Caenorhabditis elegans: one gene and its partner. The protein of the gene in region 2 purifies or fractionates together with the protein of the main gene of each other region. This does not show direct contact. Each region holds a gene or a part of one and is shown on either strand. Other genes may lie near its edges. The genes, in order: Y116A8C.27 and daf-25.

What was found.
Region 1: the proteins of daf-25 (region 2) and Y116A8C.27 fractionate together in Caenorhabditis elegans (co-fractionation; one large-scale study listed by BioGRID). This does not show direct contact.

What each region holds. Positions count from the first base shown.
Region 1 is NC_003282.8:17,089,499-17,099,208, forward strand, and holds Y116A8C.27 (ATP synthase mitochondrial F1 complex assembly factor 2), read right to left. Parts: upstream 6,771-9,710; 5' UTR 6,764-6,770; coding exon 6,680-6,763; intron 5,933-6,679; coding exon 5,828-5,932; intron 5,814-5,827; exon of another isoform or gene 5,763-5,813; coding exon of another isoform or gene 5,670-5,762; intron 5,422-5,669; coding exon of another isoform or gene 5,308-5,421; intron 4,636-5,307; coding exon of another isoform or gene 4,582-4,635; exon of another isoform or gene 4,531-4,581; intron 3,430-4,530; exon of another isoform or gene 3,363-3,429; intron 3,212-3,362; coding exon 3,081-3,211; intron 2,247-3,080; coding exon 2,077-2,246; intron 1,999-2,076; coding exon 1,898-1,998; intron 1,463-1,897; coding exon 1,244-1,462; 3' UTR 1,149-1,243; downstream 1-1,148. Other genes in the region: Y116A8C.43 (Lipoprotein), read left to right, coding at 326-543, 1,097-1,148; Y116A8C.29 (uncharacterized protein), read left to right, coding at 4,582-4,635, 5,308-5,421, 5,670-5,762; bca-2 (Carbonic anhydrase), read right to left, coding at 7,028-7,128, 7,828-7,885, 8,442-8,550, 9,094-9,376.
Region 2 is NC_003279.8:329,996-339,189, reverse strand, and holds daf-25 (Dauer abnormal formation protein 25), read right to left. Parts: upstream 6,587-9,194; 5' UTR 6,578-6,586; coding exon 6,426-6,577; intron 6,345-6,425; coding exon 6,241-6,344; intron 5,400-6,240; coding exon 5,080-5,399; intron 3,482-5,079; coding exon 3,047-3,481; intron 1,626-3,046; coding exon 1,470-1,625; 3' UTR 1,345-1,469; downstream 1-1,344. Other genes in the region: nol-14 (Nucleolar protein 14), read right to left, coding at 8,462-9,079. UniProt on the Caenorhabditis elegans protein: May be involved in the trafficking and dendritic transport of signaling proteins, such as the receptor-type guanylate cyclases gcy-12 and daf-11, to the cilia.

The DNA of each region.
Region 1 (9,710 bases), on a different chromosome or scaffold from region 2:
AATTTAATTTAAAAATATTTTTGAAATCGAGGTGCAATCGCCCCCAACGCGAAAAGGTCTCGTTTTGGCGGGGAAACTGGGGATTCAAATATTTTGCGACCTTTTTTAGTCTTTTTTTTGTTGCTCTGACCGTTTTTTTAAATTATTTTTCTGCTAAAAATGTAATTTTTTCTGAAAATCGTCAAGAACAACTGAAAAAACGTAAAAATGTTTAAAAAAAACATGTGAAAACGTTTGAATGTCTAATTTTTGCCGCCAATACCCAACGAGATTCCGTGGAGCGCGATTGCACCAACCTTAATTTCGAAAAGGGCATGTTTTCCAGGTAATAGAGCATATTTTCATCTTTGAAATGAAAGAAATTGAAAATTATTTGGATAACCTTCTGAAAATTAGAAAAATATATTCCCTTATTGTATGCCAAATTACGATTCGTGTACCGACGTTTGTCGGGGAAGATGTGATTTGGCAATTTGCAGAGAATATTTTAAGAGATGATTATTATATTTTGTTGAAAATCACCAAAGAAGCAAGTTATATAGAGTAAGTTTGAATTTTCAAAAAAAAATTCAATTTTCTTTCAAAAGTAAAAAAAATCAGTTTTTATGATGAGAAAACCGAATTTTCAATAATTTCCGGTAATATTTCAACGGCACTTCTTAATTTGTACGCGCCTTTTGAAATCGAGGCGCAATCGCGCTCCAACGCGAAAAAGTTGGGTACCGTTAGGAACTGGCGGCAAAACGATAAATTCAAACGTTTTCAGTTATTTTTCGGCTTATTTTCGTTATTTCTCTGGTGGTGTTTTATAATTTTTTTTGTCAAAAAAATTCAATTTCGTCATAAAATGCATAAAAATCACTCAAAAAATCACAAAAAAGTCGAAAAATGCTTGATTTTCCCCGTTTTCGAGAATTTTTCGTATTTTCCGTAAATTTTTATGCCAAAAATCTGTTAAAAAAGTAATTTTGACGAAAAGTGCTCGAAAAACATTTGATTTTCTAGCTTTCCCGTCTAAAAGGTCCAATGTTCGGTGGAGCGCGATTTCCAAATTTGCATTTTTCTACGTCTCCATAATAACACGACATTTTTTCAGGTTCTACTTCTTCGCGAACAATGAATACCAATGTATGATGCGTTATTTATAAAATAATATTTTAATTAAAATGAAGAAATGAATTTAAAAAAAACAAAACAAACAATTACTAAAACAAGCTAAAAACTAGAGATTTTAAAAAAGAAATTAAACAGTTTTTGAAGTGAAATTATTTGAATTAAAATAGACAAAAAGACAAGCAGCCGACAGTCTTGTCATGAGTTCTTCTCTTTCAATTCCGTGAGCCCATTCAACATTTCCCCATGTTTCTGCTTGAGTTCTCTGTTCCAGTGTTGCTGCATCGATTGCTGTGTCTGGGTCGATGTGATGACGAATTGCGTTGTAGGCGATCACGAATGATTTGACCTAGAAATTTTTTTTGGATTTTTTAATAATTTTTTTTTGTAAAATTCATAAAAATTGAATTTTTGTGTTAAAAAAATTTCTGAAATTTTTTAAAAAACTATTTTATTTTTAAAATTTAGAAAATTTTAATATTCTTGTAAATTGCTTCCAATTTTGTAAAAACAAATTGAATTTTTTTTCGATTAAAAAAACTAAATAAAAATTTCTTCAATAAAATGATTTTGGATTAAAGAAAGTTGATTTTTTTAGAAGATTTTGAAAAATTAATTGCAAAAAATTTTTTTGGTAAAATGTTTTGGATTTTTTGTTGCTTTTTTGTGTGAAGATGTGAAATTTTTAGAGCTTCTAATTCAGAAATCTCATTTCTTAAAATGATAGGTAAGGTAATCAAGGTAGGTAAGGCAGGTAAGGTAGGTAGATAGGTAGGCATCTTACCGATTCAGTTGCATACTGAAGCCCAACAAGAGCCGGGAAATTGTGCTGACGAATCCATCTGTCGATTTTTTCCTTATCGTTCTCGCTGGCCACGTCACAGTCTATAATTTTTTGGAATTTTTATTAAATTTTTTTTATTCGAAAATTTAAAAAATCCCATTTTCCAAAACCACAAATACCTAAAATATTCTCGCTGGGGCGAACTTTAATTCCCAAATCGTTATTCAAATTCTTGATAAGCGGAGCCCATTTCTCCTCCTGGTAGCGATGAAGTTTCGAGCTTTCCGTATTGAAGAACAATACAGTGTCACCTTCCACGTAATCGAGGATTTTTTGAGAAATTGTGTCGCTGAAAATGGACGATTTTTTGGTTTAAAAAAAAATTTAACTACAAAAAAGTTGATTTTTCAAAAAACAAAAAAAAATTGTTTAAAAATTAATAATTTTTTAGAAAATGGAAAAAAACGAGTTTTTTGAAAAAGTCCTGTAAACAATTTTTTCAGAATTTTTTCCAATAATAACAATTTTTTTTCAGAAAATCGAAAAAAAAATTTATTATGGAAAAAAAAAAACATTTTCATTTCAGACATCATATTTTGTTTTTGAAATAAAAAAAATACTTTTTCAGAAATAAATGGAGAAAAATATGTTTTCTTTTTTGAAAAACTTCTAAAAAATTTTTTCAAAAATTCAAAAAAATAGAAATTTATCTTTTTAAAAAATTGGAAAAACGTGGGTTTTTGTAGAAAAATAACCAAAAATCGAGATTTTCAGCAAATCTTTAAAAAAATAATTTTTCCATATTTTTTTAATATAAAATGTTAGATTTTTCTTTAAAATTTATATATATAAAATTTATATAGATTTATTAAGAATCTTAGAATTTTAGAATTTTTTTAAAGATAATTTTTAGAAAATCGAGAAAAATTTTTTTTTTTTTTGGAAAAAATCAACATTTTGTTCTCACAATCAGAAATCTTTTTTTTTTAAATGAAATCTAAAAAGAATAATGTTTTTTTTTTGAAAAATTTCAAAAAAATTAACTTTTCAGAAATGAAAACAATTTTTTTAAAAGAAAATAGAGAAAAGTAATTTTTTTTTGTTGAAAAACTTCTAAAAAAATTTTCAAAATTTAAAAATTAATTTTTTTCGAAAAATGGAAATTTTTTCTCGCATTACGAACGCAGTCTGTTCCAATGGATTATCCTGAGCAGTGAATGCAAGACCAGTCAATCTCATTTGTCCCAACTGCAGAAATTCGTCTTGTGATGACCATTCTTCAGCAATTGCCAGTGCAAGTGGATATGAGTCGAGCTGAAAATTAGAGACTTGAAGCTATGATGACGTCATTATTTAGAAAAATGCGCATTTTGTGTTAAAAATCCCGAAATATTCTGGAAATCCAAAAAAAAAAAACTGAAAGTCACGAAAAATGGCTTAATTCCTTTCAAAATGATAACGACCAATCAGCGAATCGCTCTGCCCACTTTTGACGCTGATTGGTTCACAAAAGTGGGCCGAGCGATTCGCTGATTGGTCGAAGTTAGTCAAAATTGAAAAATCTCGATTTTTCGTTTTTTAAAGGTGGAGTAGCGCTAGTGGGGAAATTGCTTTAAAACATGCCTATGACGTCACAATGACCGAATATCATGATAAAAAAAATTCAAAAAAATTTTCTAAATTTTATATGATTTTTTGAAAATTGAAAAAATCTCAGTTTTTGCCTAATTTCTATTTGAATTACCGCCAATTGGATTTGTTCGATGGAGCGCGCTTGCACGTTTTTAAATTTATTTATTTTATTTATTGTTATTTTCCACCGATTTTTATAATTTCGGTGTTTTTTTGCTCGAATTTTAAAGAAAAAGTCAAAATAAATGCAAATTTTCGATTAAAAAGCACGCTTACTGGCGTAAATCAGTGAAATTAATTAATTCAGGCTCGAAATCGTTTAAAATCGTTACTTTTTCATTTTTACGCCTGTAAGCGTGCTTTTTAATCGGAAATTTGCATTTATCTTGACTTTTTCTCTTAAATTCAAGCAAAAATACACTGAAAACATTAAAAATCGGTGGAAAATAACAATAAATAAAATAAATAAATTTAAAAACGTGCAAGCGCGCTCCATCGAACAAATCCAATTGGCGGAAATTCAAATAGGAATTAGGCAAAAACTGAGATTTTTTCAATTTTCAAAAAATCATATAAAATTTAGAAAATTTTTTTGAATTTTTTTATCATGATATTCGGTCATTGTGACGTCATAGGCATGTTTTAAAGCAATTTCCCCACACTGGCGCTACTCCACCTTTAGTGTAATTTTTCGGAAATTTCGATTTTTTTTTGGATTTTTCTTAACTGATTTTTGAAGTAAAAGTAAACATTTTTTGGAAAACCAAACAATTTCATTTTTGTTCCGTTTTTGACTTTTTTCTTTGAAACTCAATACAATTTGCCATCATCATCATGTGTCATTGTACCTATGTAAATATTACTTTCATTCTCTGCGTCTCCCCTGAAATTTTTCAATTTTTTGCCTGCGGTCAGTGTGAAAGTGTAAAAGCAAACTTTTCTGGTATTTGCATAATTTTTTTCGCGGCCGTTTTTTTTTGTTTTAAAATTATTTTATTCTTTTTAGAAGCTTCAGAGGAATGTTTTCTTAATTTTCTTGACAATTCGAAGAAATGACTCTCCACAACATTGCATTGCACCTTCTCCCGGTTTTTATTTTCGCTATTGTAAGTTACTTTTTACTTAAAAAAGGGTCTCGACACGCACAATTTTTTGTGCGCCTTTAAAAATTATTGTAGTTTTTTTTCAAGTTAACTAAATAATATATTTCTTACAAAAAATTGTTGAAATAACAGTACTCTTCAAAAAAAATCGTGTCGAGACCCGGCACCGTATTTTTGAAAATTTTCATCCGCTCTCAAACGTTACGTCTCGTTAGGTATTAATTAGAATTTCAAATGTTTTGATACATTTTTAGTGTTTCTTATTATTTTTATCTCAAAATGATGCAAACAATGCAATTTCGACATAAAAATATTTAAAAAAAAAACGAAAAACACTTGAAAACCGGTAGAATCAAGCTTTTGTCGTCTTTTCAACGAAGATTTTTTCGTGAAAAATGAAAAATAATGTGAAAAATCTAATTTTTTTTCAATTCGGACGAAAATTGAGTCAAATAGAGTTTAAAAAATCTAATTTTTTACAACATTTGTAATAAATCTATAATTATATGTTTAAGAACGATTTTTACCAAAAAAAAAACGGGCGAAAAATCGAAAAATGCTTGAAAACTGAAGAAATTCACAAAAATAATTTAATTTGATATCCTAACGAGACCCAAAGTTTAGGGGCGGGGCGTTGTTGTCCGCGGAGCGCCATTGCATATCTCAAATTTTCAGTTTCTCATAATTCTGATCTTCGTGTGTCGGAAAGCAGACTCAAAGATTATTTCAAGGTTCTCATCGAGAAGATCAAGCCAAATGTCACTCGCATCCCGGAAATCGAGTTCTGCGGTAATTTTTGATTTTTGGCAAATTAGTTGAAAACTCAGGAAAACCACAAAAACAAGCTTTTTCAAACTTTGGTACTACGACGACCAATCAGCAGCTCGCTCCGTCCACTTTTGACGCTGATTGGTCGCAGTTAACCAAAATTTGAAAAATCAGAATTTTTCGTCGTTTTTTTTGTGATTTTTTGCATATAGGCATATAATTTGGATTTTTTTTAACTAAAAAATCTTATAAAAATAAGATTTTTTCAGACAAATCCCCGTCAATGTGCAATGAATTTGGTCACAAATTCATCAGATTTTATGGAGAAGGAACCAATTTCTGAGAAACCTGTATTTGTTTAACTTTTTCCACTTTTTGTATATATTTTTTTTAAAATAAAAGCTGCTGCTACTAGACATTCCCGTACTTTTAGCACTTGTCCTCCTTGAGTTTTGAGAACACGATGATCCAGAAGAACTTTATGAATTTGATTTCCGGTGCTCTCGTCCGTCTCGTTAATTACTGATACTTCCTGCAAAAAATGTTTGGGTTTTTGGGGAGGAAGTTGTGAAAATTTGCGGTTATCCCCGTAAAAGTTGAATTTTTTCATTAAAAAATTCAGATTTTCTTTTTTTTTTTTTTTTAGAAAATCGCTATTTATTTTTCAATTTTTTGGCGTTTTTCATAGAAAATCGTTACTTTTTAATTTTTTTTCTTCCATTTTTCAATGTTTTCCAAAAAAAATCGCAAAAAAAATTACCGATTTTTTTGGATTTTCATAGTAAAACCAAAAAAGACGATTTTTCTCGATTTTCATATTTTTTAAAATGGAAAATGGAAAATTTTCAATTTTTTGGTTTTTAGAGAAAAAATTTCAAAATCGAATATTTTTGATTTTTTTTGTTGCAGAGGAAAACATTTTTTCTTTTTTTTTAAATTGTTTTTCTGTGTTTACCCAGAGTTCTGATGTGATAAAAATTATATTTTATTAAAAAAGAGAAATTTCTGATTTTTTTATTATTGAAAATCGAAAAAATAAATTCGATATTTTTTGAATTTTTGAGGAAAAATAAAGAAAAAATGAATACTTTTTAAATAATTTTCGATGTTACATAGAAAAACGTTCAAAAATGGCACTTTTTGATGTTAAAAAAAAATGCAATTTCGTTAAAAAAAAAGATTTCTGAAAAATATGTTTTTGAAAAAAAAAACGATAATTTTCCGATTTTTAAAGCATTTTTTTTTACAAAACACTCTTTGGAATTTCCTGAAAAATTACCTTATAGAACTTTTTCGGTTTTGTCAGTGCAGAGGCTTGAGCAGCAGCAAATCGCCGAGCAACACGGCCAAGATTGGACGCCATTTGAGCACTGAAATTGAATTTTTCTAAAAAAAAAAATTTAAAATTCAAAATTACAACGATAGGACACTGGACAATGGACAGTTAGTTGAAAAAAATAATTTTAAAAAATTATATTTTTCAAAAAAAAAAAAGTAAATGACTTTATGACTATGGCAAATGCGGGGCAAATTGGAAATTAAATGCAATCTCAAGAAATAGTATGGCAAAATGGGGGAATATTTACACAAAAATCTAAAAATTAAAATAAATGCAATATAATAATAATTAAGTCTGATGCTTTTCGACCTCATCAATCAATTCTTCGACATTCGATTCATCGACCAGAACGAATTGTTTGTTGGGTTTGCTGAACATGTGCATTTCTCCTAAAAAGAAAATCAAATTTTTTTGTGAAAATTAAAGAAAATACACTGCAACTTTTTCCTCACGAGGGACGAGGAAAAGTGGTTTCTAGGCCATGGCCGAAGGGCCAACAAGTTTCAGCGGCCATTTATCTTGTATTGTTTTCCGCCTGTTTTCTTTTGTTTTTCACAGCTTTTTCCCGTTTTTTCTTATCAAAACTAATAAATAAATATTTTTTGCAGATGCTAAAACAATTTCCAAGTAAAAAATTATGTATTCAGTGGGCAAGCAGCGGTGAAAGTGGGCATTGTAATATGATGGATTACGGGAATCCAAAACCTAAACTACCCCTCAGCGGTCTCGTTATGAAAATCAGGTAGTCTCAGCATTTAAGCAGCATATGTATCATGTTTCAGAAAAAGTTTAGGTTTTGGATTCCCGTAATCCATCATATTACAATGCCCACTTTCACCGCTGCTTGCCCACTGAATACATAATTTTTTACTTGGAAATTGTTTTAGCATCTGCAAAAAATATTTATTTATCAGTTTTATTAAGAAAAAACGAAAAAAATCGATGAAAAACGAAAGAAAACAGGCGGAAAACAAAGCAAGATAATGGCCGCTGAAACTTGTCGGCCCCTCGGCCATGGCCTAGAAACCACTTTCCCTCGTCCCCCGTGAATAAAAAGTTACAGTGAAAATAGAAAAATGTATGTATACCAGTGTAAATATCGAACCACATCGCATGAAGATCGACAGTTTGAGACACGAGGAATTCCTGAAAAAATGTGTTTTGAATATGTTTTGAATTTTGAATAAAAAAAATCTATTTGAGGGGCATAATTTCCTATTTCAGAAATTAAAAAAAAAGGTTTTCTCTGAAATTTTGAAATCTAATGAAATCTAACCGTTTTTTATCATAATTTCCTGTTACGGAAATTAAATTTTTTAAAGAATTTTCAAAATCTATTCTAGGAACACGATTTTCCCAGCCGAAGGGTGTCGTTTTTCGGTTTTTTTTTTCTGGGAAATTCGAAAAATCAAAAAAAAAAATTAATTAAAAAACGAAATCTTTCGATATTTAAAAAAATATTTTTAAAAAATGTTCAGAAAAGAAATATGATTTTTAAAATCTAGTTTTTTTTTAAATTGATGAGAATAAACATAATTTCTTCTAAAAAAATTTTTGAAAAAAAAAACCAAGTTTTTTTGGAAATAACAAAAAAAAACTGTTTTTTGTTGTGTTTTCGACAAAATTAATAATTTTTTTCTCTATTTTTCCGCATTTTTCTTCAATTTTCCAGCATTTGACGCAACATTTTTCGGGTATTAACCTTCAAAAATCCATGACTGGCCACATTTTCCAATTGTTGAAGTGTATTAATTTGTGAGAGCTTATCCTCGACATTCAGCTTGTCTTCCGGGTCAATTACTGCCGAGAATCTGAAATTTAGAGATTATATTGTCCATCAATCCGTGAATTTTGCAAGTGCCGCACAGAAAAAGGGGCGGAGTGTAATAATGCCGCGCACGGTTTTTTGTTGATATTTATAGTTTTTTTATCTAAAAAAAATTTAATGAGAAAAATACAAAAAAGCAGAAAAAAAACTGTGCCGTATTGAGCCCCGCCCCTTTTTTTGTGCCGCACTTGCAAAATTCAAAATTTTCGCAATTTTTGGTGCGAAAAAACAATTTGTTCTTCAAACGACAGACAACGAAGCTCCGAAATTACGCATTTTGGAAGTGTGGCACGGAAAAATGGGCGTGATCTCTGTTTTTTCGAAAATTTTGAATTTTTCATGTGCCGCACAGAAAAAAGAGCGGAGTGTAATAATGCCGCACGGTTTTTTGACGATTTTTATAGTTTTTTATCTAAAAAAAAAATTTATTGAGAAAAATACAAAAAAGCAGAAAAAAAAACTGTGCCGCATTGAGCTCCGCGCCCCTTTTTCCGTGCCGCACTTGCAAAATTCAAAGGAGACTCACGAGAACAACGGATTATCACTGACAAACTCAATCGGGCCCGCATTCTTGTCGGCCAGTCGTTTTTCCAATTTCCTAATCGAATTAAATCCATGCCGCCGGAGCCAATGATCCATTGGTGATTCTGGATCAAATGATTTTGGACATTTATGAAGATTATATAAAGTATTGATTGCTTTACAATCCGAATGTCCACACACAATTACATGATTGATTTTTCCACGTTTTACTGCCAACTCGAGTGCCGCTGGTTCAGTTGTTACAGAGACCTCATAGCCAGAGGGACCTGGAAGTTAGTTTAGGTGGTGGAGGCACCACGGGGGAAAGGATAACTGCTAGAAGGAGCAAACGATTTTTCCGGCAAATGGCAGGAATCGAGAATTTCTGGCAAATCAGCAAACTTCCGGATTTAAACATTTCCGGCAAACCGGAAAATTGCCGGAAACTCGGCAATTTTCAGGAATTTAAATTTTCCGGCAAATCGGCAGATTACCGGATTCGAAAATTTCTGGCAAATCTGCATATTTTCGGCAAAGCGGTAAACTGCCGGAATTGAACATTTTCGGAAAATCGCCAAATTGCCAGAATTGAAAATTTCTGGCGAATTGGAAAATTGCCAG
Region 2 (9,194 bases):
TACATCCGATAAATTCGACTATGTTTATATTCTGAGTAGGATCTTTTTCTCGGGCATAATTGGTGTTCTGTATTCACTTATGATACGTTCGGCTGCGTACATTGGCCAAGAGTGTTCTAGTAAGAGAATTTCATTTAGAATATGAACAATTTGGGTAATTGGAAAGTGTCTTCGGGAATCTTTATACATCCAATAAATTTAACTATGTTTATATTCTGAGTAGGATCTTTTTCTCGGGCATAATTGGTGTTCTGTATTCACTTATGATACGTTCGGCTGCGTACATTGGCCAAGAGTGTTCTAGTAAAAGAATTTCATTTAGAATATGAACAATTTGGGTAATTGGAAAGTGTCTTCGGGAATCTTTATACATCCGATAAATTTGACTATGTTTATATTCTGAGTAGGATCTTTTTCTCGGGCATAATTGGTGTTCTGTATTCACTTATGATACGTTCGGCTGCGTACATTGGCCAAGAGCGTTCTAGTAAGAGAATTTGATTTAGAATATGAACAATTTGGGTAATTGGAAAGTGTCTTCGGGAATCTTTATACATCCGATAAATTTGACTATGTTTATATTCTGAGTAGGATCTTTTTCTCGGGCATAATTGGTGTTCTGTATTCTCTTATTATTCGTTCGGCAGCGTACAGTGGCTAAGAGTGTTCCAGTAAAGAAATATTTCCTAGAATTTAAGCAGTTTGGGAATCACACTAAGGAAACTAAAATAATTCTGATACACAGAAATTAAAATAATTATGATACACTTGGGTCCGTTCATATTCTAAGTCGGATTTTTTTGCTCGAACATGATTAGTTTACTCTATTCTCTTAAAAAAATTTTTTTTCGTTCTTCTGGATTTTAAAAATCCGTTAAAAAAACGAAAAAACTTTTGTTTTTAGACTTTTCAAGTATTTATCAGATATTGTAGAACTATGTCTACTTTGTTGTATCATTAGACAACTAAAATGAACCATTTTAGAGGGGTTAAAAAATTTCGAATTTTCGCCACTTTTTATAGTTTTCTTTTTTATAGTATTCGGAGATCAATTTTGAGGGCAAAAAAAATAATTTTTTGATTTGAAAATGTTTTACCAGTTGTCTTTACAAATGAGAATATTGAATTTCTTGGGTTCCTGATTTTTTCATTTTTGTCGATTTACGAGATTTGTGTCGATTTACGAAATGTCGAAATTTTTAATCTTTATTGGATACTCTTTCCGTTTTTCAACGAGTTTCCATCATCAGTTTTTGACGAAGTGGTTTTTTGAAAAGGTTTTTAGATTAATTTTTGGATTCCATATTTCTTAATGCATGTTTTAGTGAATTTTTGTTCAAGGAATGACTTCAAAAATGAATTTATGAAAATGAAATTAAAAGTTCGTGCAATGAGATGAAGCCGAAATATACATTAAAAATAAATAAATTCCAGAAAAAAAGTATATTGAGATCGAAATATCGGCACTTCTACACGTCGATTTTGGCGATTTGAGCCTGAATATCGTCCAGCGACATGGCGGTCTCGTCGGTGGGCGACACTTCTTGTCGCGTTTTCAGAAATGAGCACACTTTTTTGTGAATTGGCCAGTCGAATTTTTGGCATTCTTGGGAACAGTAGGCGAGCTGTAAAAATTGTTGGAATTTAAAAAACGTTTACTAGAGTTAAAAAATGTGTTGCCTGAAATTTTTAAACTCTTTTCCATTTTATCAAAATTTGGAAATTGTTTGCAATTTATAATGAGAATTGAGTTTTTTTTCACTTTTTAGCTATTCTGTTGTTGAAAAATTGGATATTTTTCAGAAAAAATTCTTTAATCGATATTTTGAGGCACCACATTTTCAAGATCTGGCGGAATTCCGGATCTCCGTTTTCCGGATCTACCATTTCCGGATCTGGCACCGTGCCAACTCTTAAAACGCTATTTTTCTCGGAGAAAAACGTGATAACGATGCTCCGTTGTTACGCGTCGCGTGTTGTTAAGCGTTTCTTCTAGAAGAAATTTTCAAAAAACAACGTGCGTCGAGTGAACAAAAAAGCGTTTTGTGCGTTGGCACGGTGCCAGATCCGGAAAACGTAGATCCGGAAATGGTAGATCCGGAAAACGTAGATCCGGAATTTCACCAGATCTTGAAAACGTTGTGCCTCGATATTTTCAGATATAGTTTTTAATTTTCAAATACAGCATATTATAGAAAACTTTTTTTAATAAAGGAAAAACAGGAAATTCAAAAAAATTGAACCTCGACACTTAAAATTTTGAAAAATTGGAAAAAGTATCAGAAATTAATTTTGACTAATACATTTACAGACAAAATGTTCTTTTTTCGATATTTACAGAATGTCTAGAATTTATTTTTGTTTTTTGAAGTTTTTTCCCGGATTTTCAAAGAGTATTTTACGGGAATTTTCTACAGAATGAATTTTTTTAAAAAGTTTTAATAATTCTTTTTTTTAATTTAAAGAATCTTTAAAGAATTGTTAGAGCTGCCAAATTTTGTAAATTAAAAACGAACTGAAATTTTGAAAACTTTCAATTTTTATTCGAGTTTCTCGGCATTTGGCTCTTGCTTCTTGCCCAAGTTTAGCCCAAAAAATGTTAACTTGGATCAGAAGCTGTCTAAACTTGGGCAAAAGTTAGGCAAGACTTTGGCAAAACTTGGATTCAAGCTTTACCAAAGTCTAACCCAAGTTTCACCCAACTCTTGCCAAACTTTGGCCCAAATTTGAAACGAAATAAGAAAAGTTTGGGCCAAAGTTTGGCAAGAGTTGGGTGAAACTTGGGTTAGACCTTGGTAAAGCTTGAATCCAAGTTTTGCCAAAGTTTTGTCTAACTTTTGCCCAAGTTTAGACAGCTTCAAGTTAATATTTTTTGGGCTAAACTTGGGCAAGAAGCTAGAGCCAAATGCCGAGTTTGTGGGAAAATTCATAAAATGTAACGGAATAAAATTTTTTCCATATTTTTAAAATTTGGAATTGATTATTTCCCAAATTCGAGCTTTATTAAATTATTAAATAATTATTTTTAACCCTAAAAACTCCATACTTTGCACTGTGTGCACCGTTTCTTGGCTCCAGGATGTCCGCAAACCGAGCAAAACTGGCAGACCGCAGCGATTCGTTGTCCGAAAAGTGCCTGAACAATGTATTCATAGGCACTTGGTCGTTCACCAATTTGACTTTTTTGCAGTGCTTTTTGTAGAGTATCATGAAGTAATGAATGTTTATACGGGAACGAAGCAACCGCATTTCTCAGCATCACGTCAAGTGCTCGCCTAGTTTCATCGCCCTCTTGCCACGTGGAAATCAGTTTTGCGTACTGTAGAGACGCTTCTTCTGGCGACTTTTCCTTGTTCGACTCCACGAATTTCGAGGTTTCACGCATTGAAAATAGAATTAGCCAAAGCTTGAGCGACATTATTTCATTGCTTTCCTTACATCGAAGCTGTTTCTCGAAGACACGATCGATGACGTAGAGGATCTGGAAAATGGGTGGTTTTTGCTTTGAAAAAAAAATATAAAAAAATAGTGTCCGTTTGTTAAGTAGTGACGTCATAGTTTACAAAGGCAAGGCGTTTTCGGCTGATGGAGGGATATTAGTTTGGGCTTAGTAGTGGGATATGGTCGGGGTACTGTAGTAGTACTGTAGGAGTACTGTAGGAGTACGGTAGGATTACTGTAGTTTAGGAAAAATTGTGTTTTAGTCTTTTGAAGAGATATAGGTTTGGGGTTAGTAGTGGGATATGGTGGGGGTACTGTAGTAGTACTGTAGGAGTACGGTAGGATTACTGTAGTTTAGGAAAAATTGTGTTTTAGTCTTTTGAAGAGATATAGGTTTGGGGTTAGTAGTGGGATATGGTCGGGGTACTGTAGTAGTACTGTAGAGGTACTGTAGGAGTACTGTACATATTTTGGCGGGAAATTCGAATTTTAATTTTTTGAAAACATTTTGGCGGGAATTCAAATTTGAATTTTTTGAAAACATTATTCTGGATTGTTCTAGAACCTTTTGGAAATTTCGAGAAAATTCTGAAATATTCTAGAACCTTCTGAAAATTTCGAGAAAATTCTGTAATGTTCTAGAACCTTTTGGAAATTTCGAGAAAATTCTGTAATGTTCTAGAACCTTTTGGAAATTTCGAGAAAATTCTGAAATATTCTAGAACCTTCTGAAAATTTCGAGAAAATTCTGAAATGTTCTAGAACCTTTTGGAAATTTCGAGAAAATTCTGAAATATTCTAGAACCTTCTGAAAATTTCGAGAAAATTCTGGAATGTTCTAGAACCTTCTGGAAATTTCGAGAAAATTATGTAATGTTCTAGAACCTTTTGGAAATTTCGAGAAAATTCTGAACTATTCTAGAACCTTCTGAAAATTTCGAGAAAATTCTGGAATGTTCTAGAACCTTCTGAAAATTTCGAGAAAATTCTGAAATGTTCTAGAACCTTTTGGAAATTTCGAGAAAATTCTGAAATATTCTAGAACCTTCTGAAAATTTCGAGAAAATTCTGGTTTATTATAACAAAAAGAACACAATTTTTACATTTTTTTTGGGTTTTCGGTTTATTTTAATCTCGAAAAACATTTAACATCAAAAGTTTTTTTTTTAATTTCTAGTTTTTAACAAATTCAGAAATTCGAAAAAATCGATCTGAAAACTACTGATACCTAATTCGATTCAATTTTTAAATTCTGAAAAATTTCAAAAATTTATTTTAATAAAAGTTTTTTTAGTTTCGAATATTTTCGCATTTTCAAACATTTTTTCACAGAAAGAATCATTTCTGAAAATATTTTGAAAAAATCAATTTTTAGGCAAAATTCAGGAAGAGATCTCAAATTTGAAAAACGATGAGAAAAACCGAGAAAAAGTGAAAAATTTTGATTACTAAAAGTTTTTATTTGGTATAACTTTTTTGTTTTGAAATTAAAAAGAATGCTTTATTAAATTTTTTAAAAAACTTTTTGGATTTTTTTGAAAATAAGAATGAACAAAAATGCGCATCTTGAAAAAGCTTAAGGAAATTTCTCAAATTTTCAGATTTTTCGTTTTTTTTCCAAACTACACAGCTATGTACCTTTTTCTTATACTTCAACGAATCGGGATATTTACTGAATCGAAAAATAATCTTAACAGGATGAATCTCATGTGATCCACACAATGAATGAATAAATACAGCCAGCTCATCCGGATATTCCTCAGCTCCTTCATATTTTCCATTCACTTTTGGCCGCAAAAGATCTTCGATCACATCAATTGTTATATGATTATTGATAATTGCCACACACTCGTGATGACCCACAAATGCCGCCAGTTCAGAGGCGGTTTTTCCGATTCCATTCACCAAATACATACGGGCTCCGGAGTCCATTAGCAGGCGGCATACGTCCTGTTTTCCTGCAAACGTTTGACAATTTTGCTTTGAAAAAAAAAGTTTGCGCGTCAAATATGGTGTATTCGAATTTTTTTTTTGGAAAAACTAAGAAAGTAGTAATACGTTAACGCAAAATTCTGAGAATGTGTATTGAGCATATTTGACGCGCAAAATATCTCGTAGCGAAAACTACAGTAATTCATTAAATGACTACGGTAGCGCTTGTGGTGATTTACGGGCTCGATTTTTTTGAAATTAATGATTTTTAATAACGAGCCCGTAAATCGACACAAGCGTTACCGTAGTCATTTAATGAATTACTGTAGTTTTCGCTACGAGATATTTTGCGCGTCAAATATGTTGACCAGTACGCATTTTCAGAATTTTGTGTTCCGGTAATATTTCGAATTGAAATTTGAATTTTTGAGCTTGAAAACGATCAAAAAAAGAAAATAGAACTTTACGAGGATTTTAAATAAAAATTTAACATTTGCGCGTAAAATATAGTGTATTGGTTTTTTTTTTTTCAAATATTGGGGTTCAGCCTAAAAATATTGTAAAAACGGAAAAAAGTTTCAAAAATTTGAATTTGCGCGTCAAATGTGTTGTATTTGGTGCAAAAAAAAATTGCGAATATTGGGTCTCACCGCGAAAACCATAAAATTTCGATGACTTTTCGCTAAATTGAATTTCAGATCAAAAATACGTGATTTGGGTCTAATTTTCCACGATTTTTCACTTAAAAGTTTGTTGTTAGCATAAAAATCGATTTTTTCGGAATTTTTTTTTACTTTTCAACGGTAAAAAACCAGAATTTGCATCAAATTTGACGCAAAAAATTTTTTTAAAAAATTTTTGCCCTACCTGATAAGGCGGCAAACATGAGTGGAGTGTACAGAGTTCCATCGGTTTTATCATTCACATCACATTTCAGCTCAATCGCTTTCTCGACCAACGTAAGATTTCCTCTGAAATTCAACGGATTACGGTATGTACCTTTAAACAATCTGCGAGGATACAGTAACCGTCGCCGCTTTAAAGGTGCATACCTATACGCGGCAGCTGCCAGCACACTCATTCCACTGGGATCCCGTTGAGCGGCTTGTTCCTTCGTTTTCAGCAGTGCCAGCGCTGCTTCAGTGTCATTTTTGTCGATTGCCTCGAAAAGCGGCGATTTGGGAGCTTCTTCCGTTGTCGTCATTTCTGCAGAAAACGGGAATTTTTTAATAATGTCGTGGCGAGATCCAAGGTTTGAGAAAATTGGAAAAATTTATGAGTAATATACAATTTTTTGATTTTTTACAGAAAAACACCTAAAAATCTAAGCATGAATAGGGATTTGGATTAAAATAAAAAATAAAAAAACTAAAATATTGTGAATTTTTATGCCTCTATGAAATTTCGATTTTTCGCGGCGGAGACATGTGTGTCGATTTACGAAATATTTAATCTTTATCGAATGATGATTTTCGTTTTTCGACGAGTTTCATTCATTTTTCCCAATAATTTTTTTAATATTGAAAAAACCAAATAAATGGTTTTCCTGACTGAAAACTGAATATTTTTCTAGTTTTTTGACCTTAAAAAATACACTTTCAAAAAAAAAAAACAAAAAAAAACCAACGAAAATGAAGACAACTCGTAGAAAAACGGAAATCAGCATTCGATAATGATTAAAAACATATCGTAAATATACATAACCCTCGTAAATCGACACACAATTGTCAGAAAGTCAAAATTCGGCGAGCAAATTCAAAAAATTGAAAATTTTACATATAAATGTTTTTAATATCGAAATTGTCTAATAGTTATATAAAATTCGAGTTCTCCAGAACATTCGTCAAAACCGCCACATCTGCCATATCTCTCCAATGACCGGATGAGCCATTAAGGATTTGGAAGAGGAAATGAGAGAAAGGGGCGGGGCGGGGCGGGGATGAGGATACTATGGCAACGGGTGGGAATGATGATAAATGTGTATTCCCAAAATATTCTCGAACGTACGTAAATGCATATATTATGAATATTTCAAAAGGTGCGTATATTTAGAATATATGAACGAAATATTACACACGCAAGCATATTAATTTACGCGCATTTTCGCCAAAAATGGTACAATACAGGGGTGAACGGCAAACGATTTTTTTGGCAAATTGTCGTTTTTCAAATTTTCGGCAATTACCGATTTGCCGGAACAACATGTGCACATCCCATGAAAACATCTATCCTAAAAAGTCAGTAAATTCTATGAAAATATTTAGAGAAAACGGGCAAAAAATTAAAAATGGCAGTTTTAAGTGTTTCCGTCTTATAAAAGATCCCGTTTAAAAACTTCCGGCAAACGGAATTTTGCCGGGATTGAAAATTTCCGGCAAACCGGCAATTTGCCGAACTGCAATTGCCGCCCACCCGTGATTTCGTGGCGAGACCCTTTCCCGAAAGTTTGAGAGTTTGCAGAGTTGAGGAGATGTAAGTGAAGCTAATTACGGAACAACTGTGTGACTCGTAGACTCAAAATTTCCAGAAATGAGAAAATTTCGAGAATTCTGAACAAAAAACTCCATAAATTGGAAATCGCTCTAAGTTTGAGCCAAAATTTGCTGACTTACGAACTATAATGGATGATTTTAGCACAAGAATTTTTTAACCTAAAAAAACTCAAAATTCCAATAAAATCAGATATTCGAGTTAGAGGGGTATTTTCAATGTAAAGTTTAAAAACTTTTTAGAAAATGCGCGAGTCAATTGGAAAACTTCAAAAATTAATCGAGATATTGACAAACGTATGTGAAACGGAAAATTTCAAAAAAATTGAACAAAAAAATTCAGAAAACTCGTTTAATTTTCAATAATAAAAAATGTCAACAAAACAGAAACATATCTCATAACAAAACGAAAAAAAAAAATAACAAAAAATGGAGGAAAAATGGCAAAAAAAATGTTTGAAAAAGGCAAATTTTGACCAAAAATAACATAGAAATCAGTTTTTTGACTATTTTTCAACAAATCGAGAAAAACTGAAATTTAGGGGTTTTTTTTGCCAAATAAAGTCATTTTCAACAAACAAAAAATAGGAAAATTTAAATTATTTCTTGTCCTTCTTCTTCTCAACATCCGCCGTACGCTTCTCCTTATTCCATTCACCCTGCTGCTGCATAAGACCGCCCATGACACGTTTCGTGGCCGCAATTCTCGCACGATCCTTCGTCTTGACACTCGACAATTGCTTCCTGGCCAAGAATGCCGTATCCTTTCTGAGCTCCTTGATGGCTCCGCGTCTTTCGTTCCTCAGATTCTTCGTCAGCTTCTTCTTCTCGTCTTTGGGTCCGTGATGTGGGCGTTCCGGATCGAAATCCCACTCGAAACGGGGTTCCAGCATTTTCAGCATGCTCTTTTCGGTTTTCACCAGCGACAGGTGCACCAGACGGCACTTGGCTCCAATTTCAGCCTTCATTGAGGCGCACAGAGTCTCCAGCTCTTCCTGGACCTCGGCTGGAAGATTTTTGGCTTGAATTGATTCCAAAATCCGGAGGAATGGCTTGAAAACGATAGAATAGGTCTCATTTTGGTTGGAGTAGATTACACGGAGATGTTGGATGAGGGAGAGCAGAGCACGAAGAACGTGAAGCTTTAGAGATGGATCGGATGGGGAATTGTTGAAGATTGTGGTCAGGGAGATTGGCTGGAGTGCGGGGCCAGTGTACTGAAAAATTGGGAAAGTTAGATTTTTTAAAAATTAATATTTTGTAAGCTTTTTTGAAAGCCAAAATTTGAATTTTTCTGAAATAAAAATAAATTTGAAAATTCGCTGAAAATTA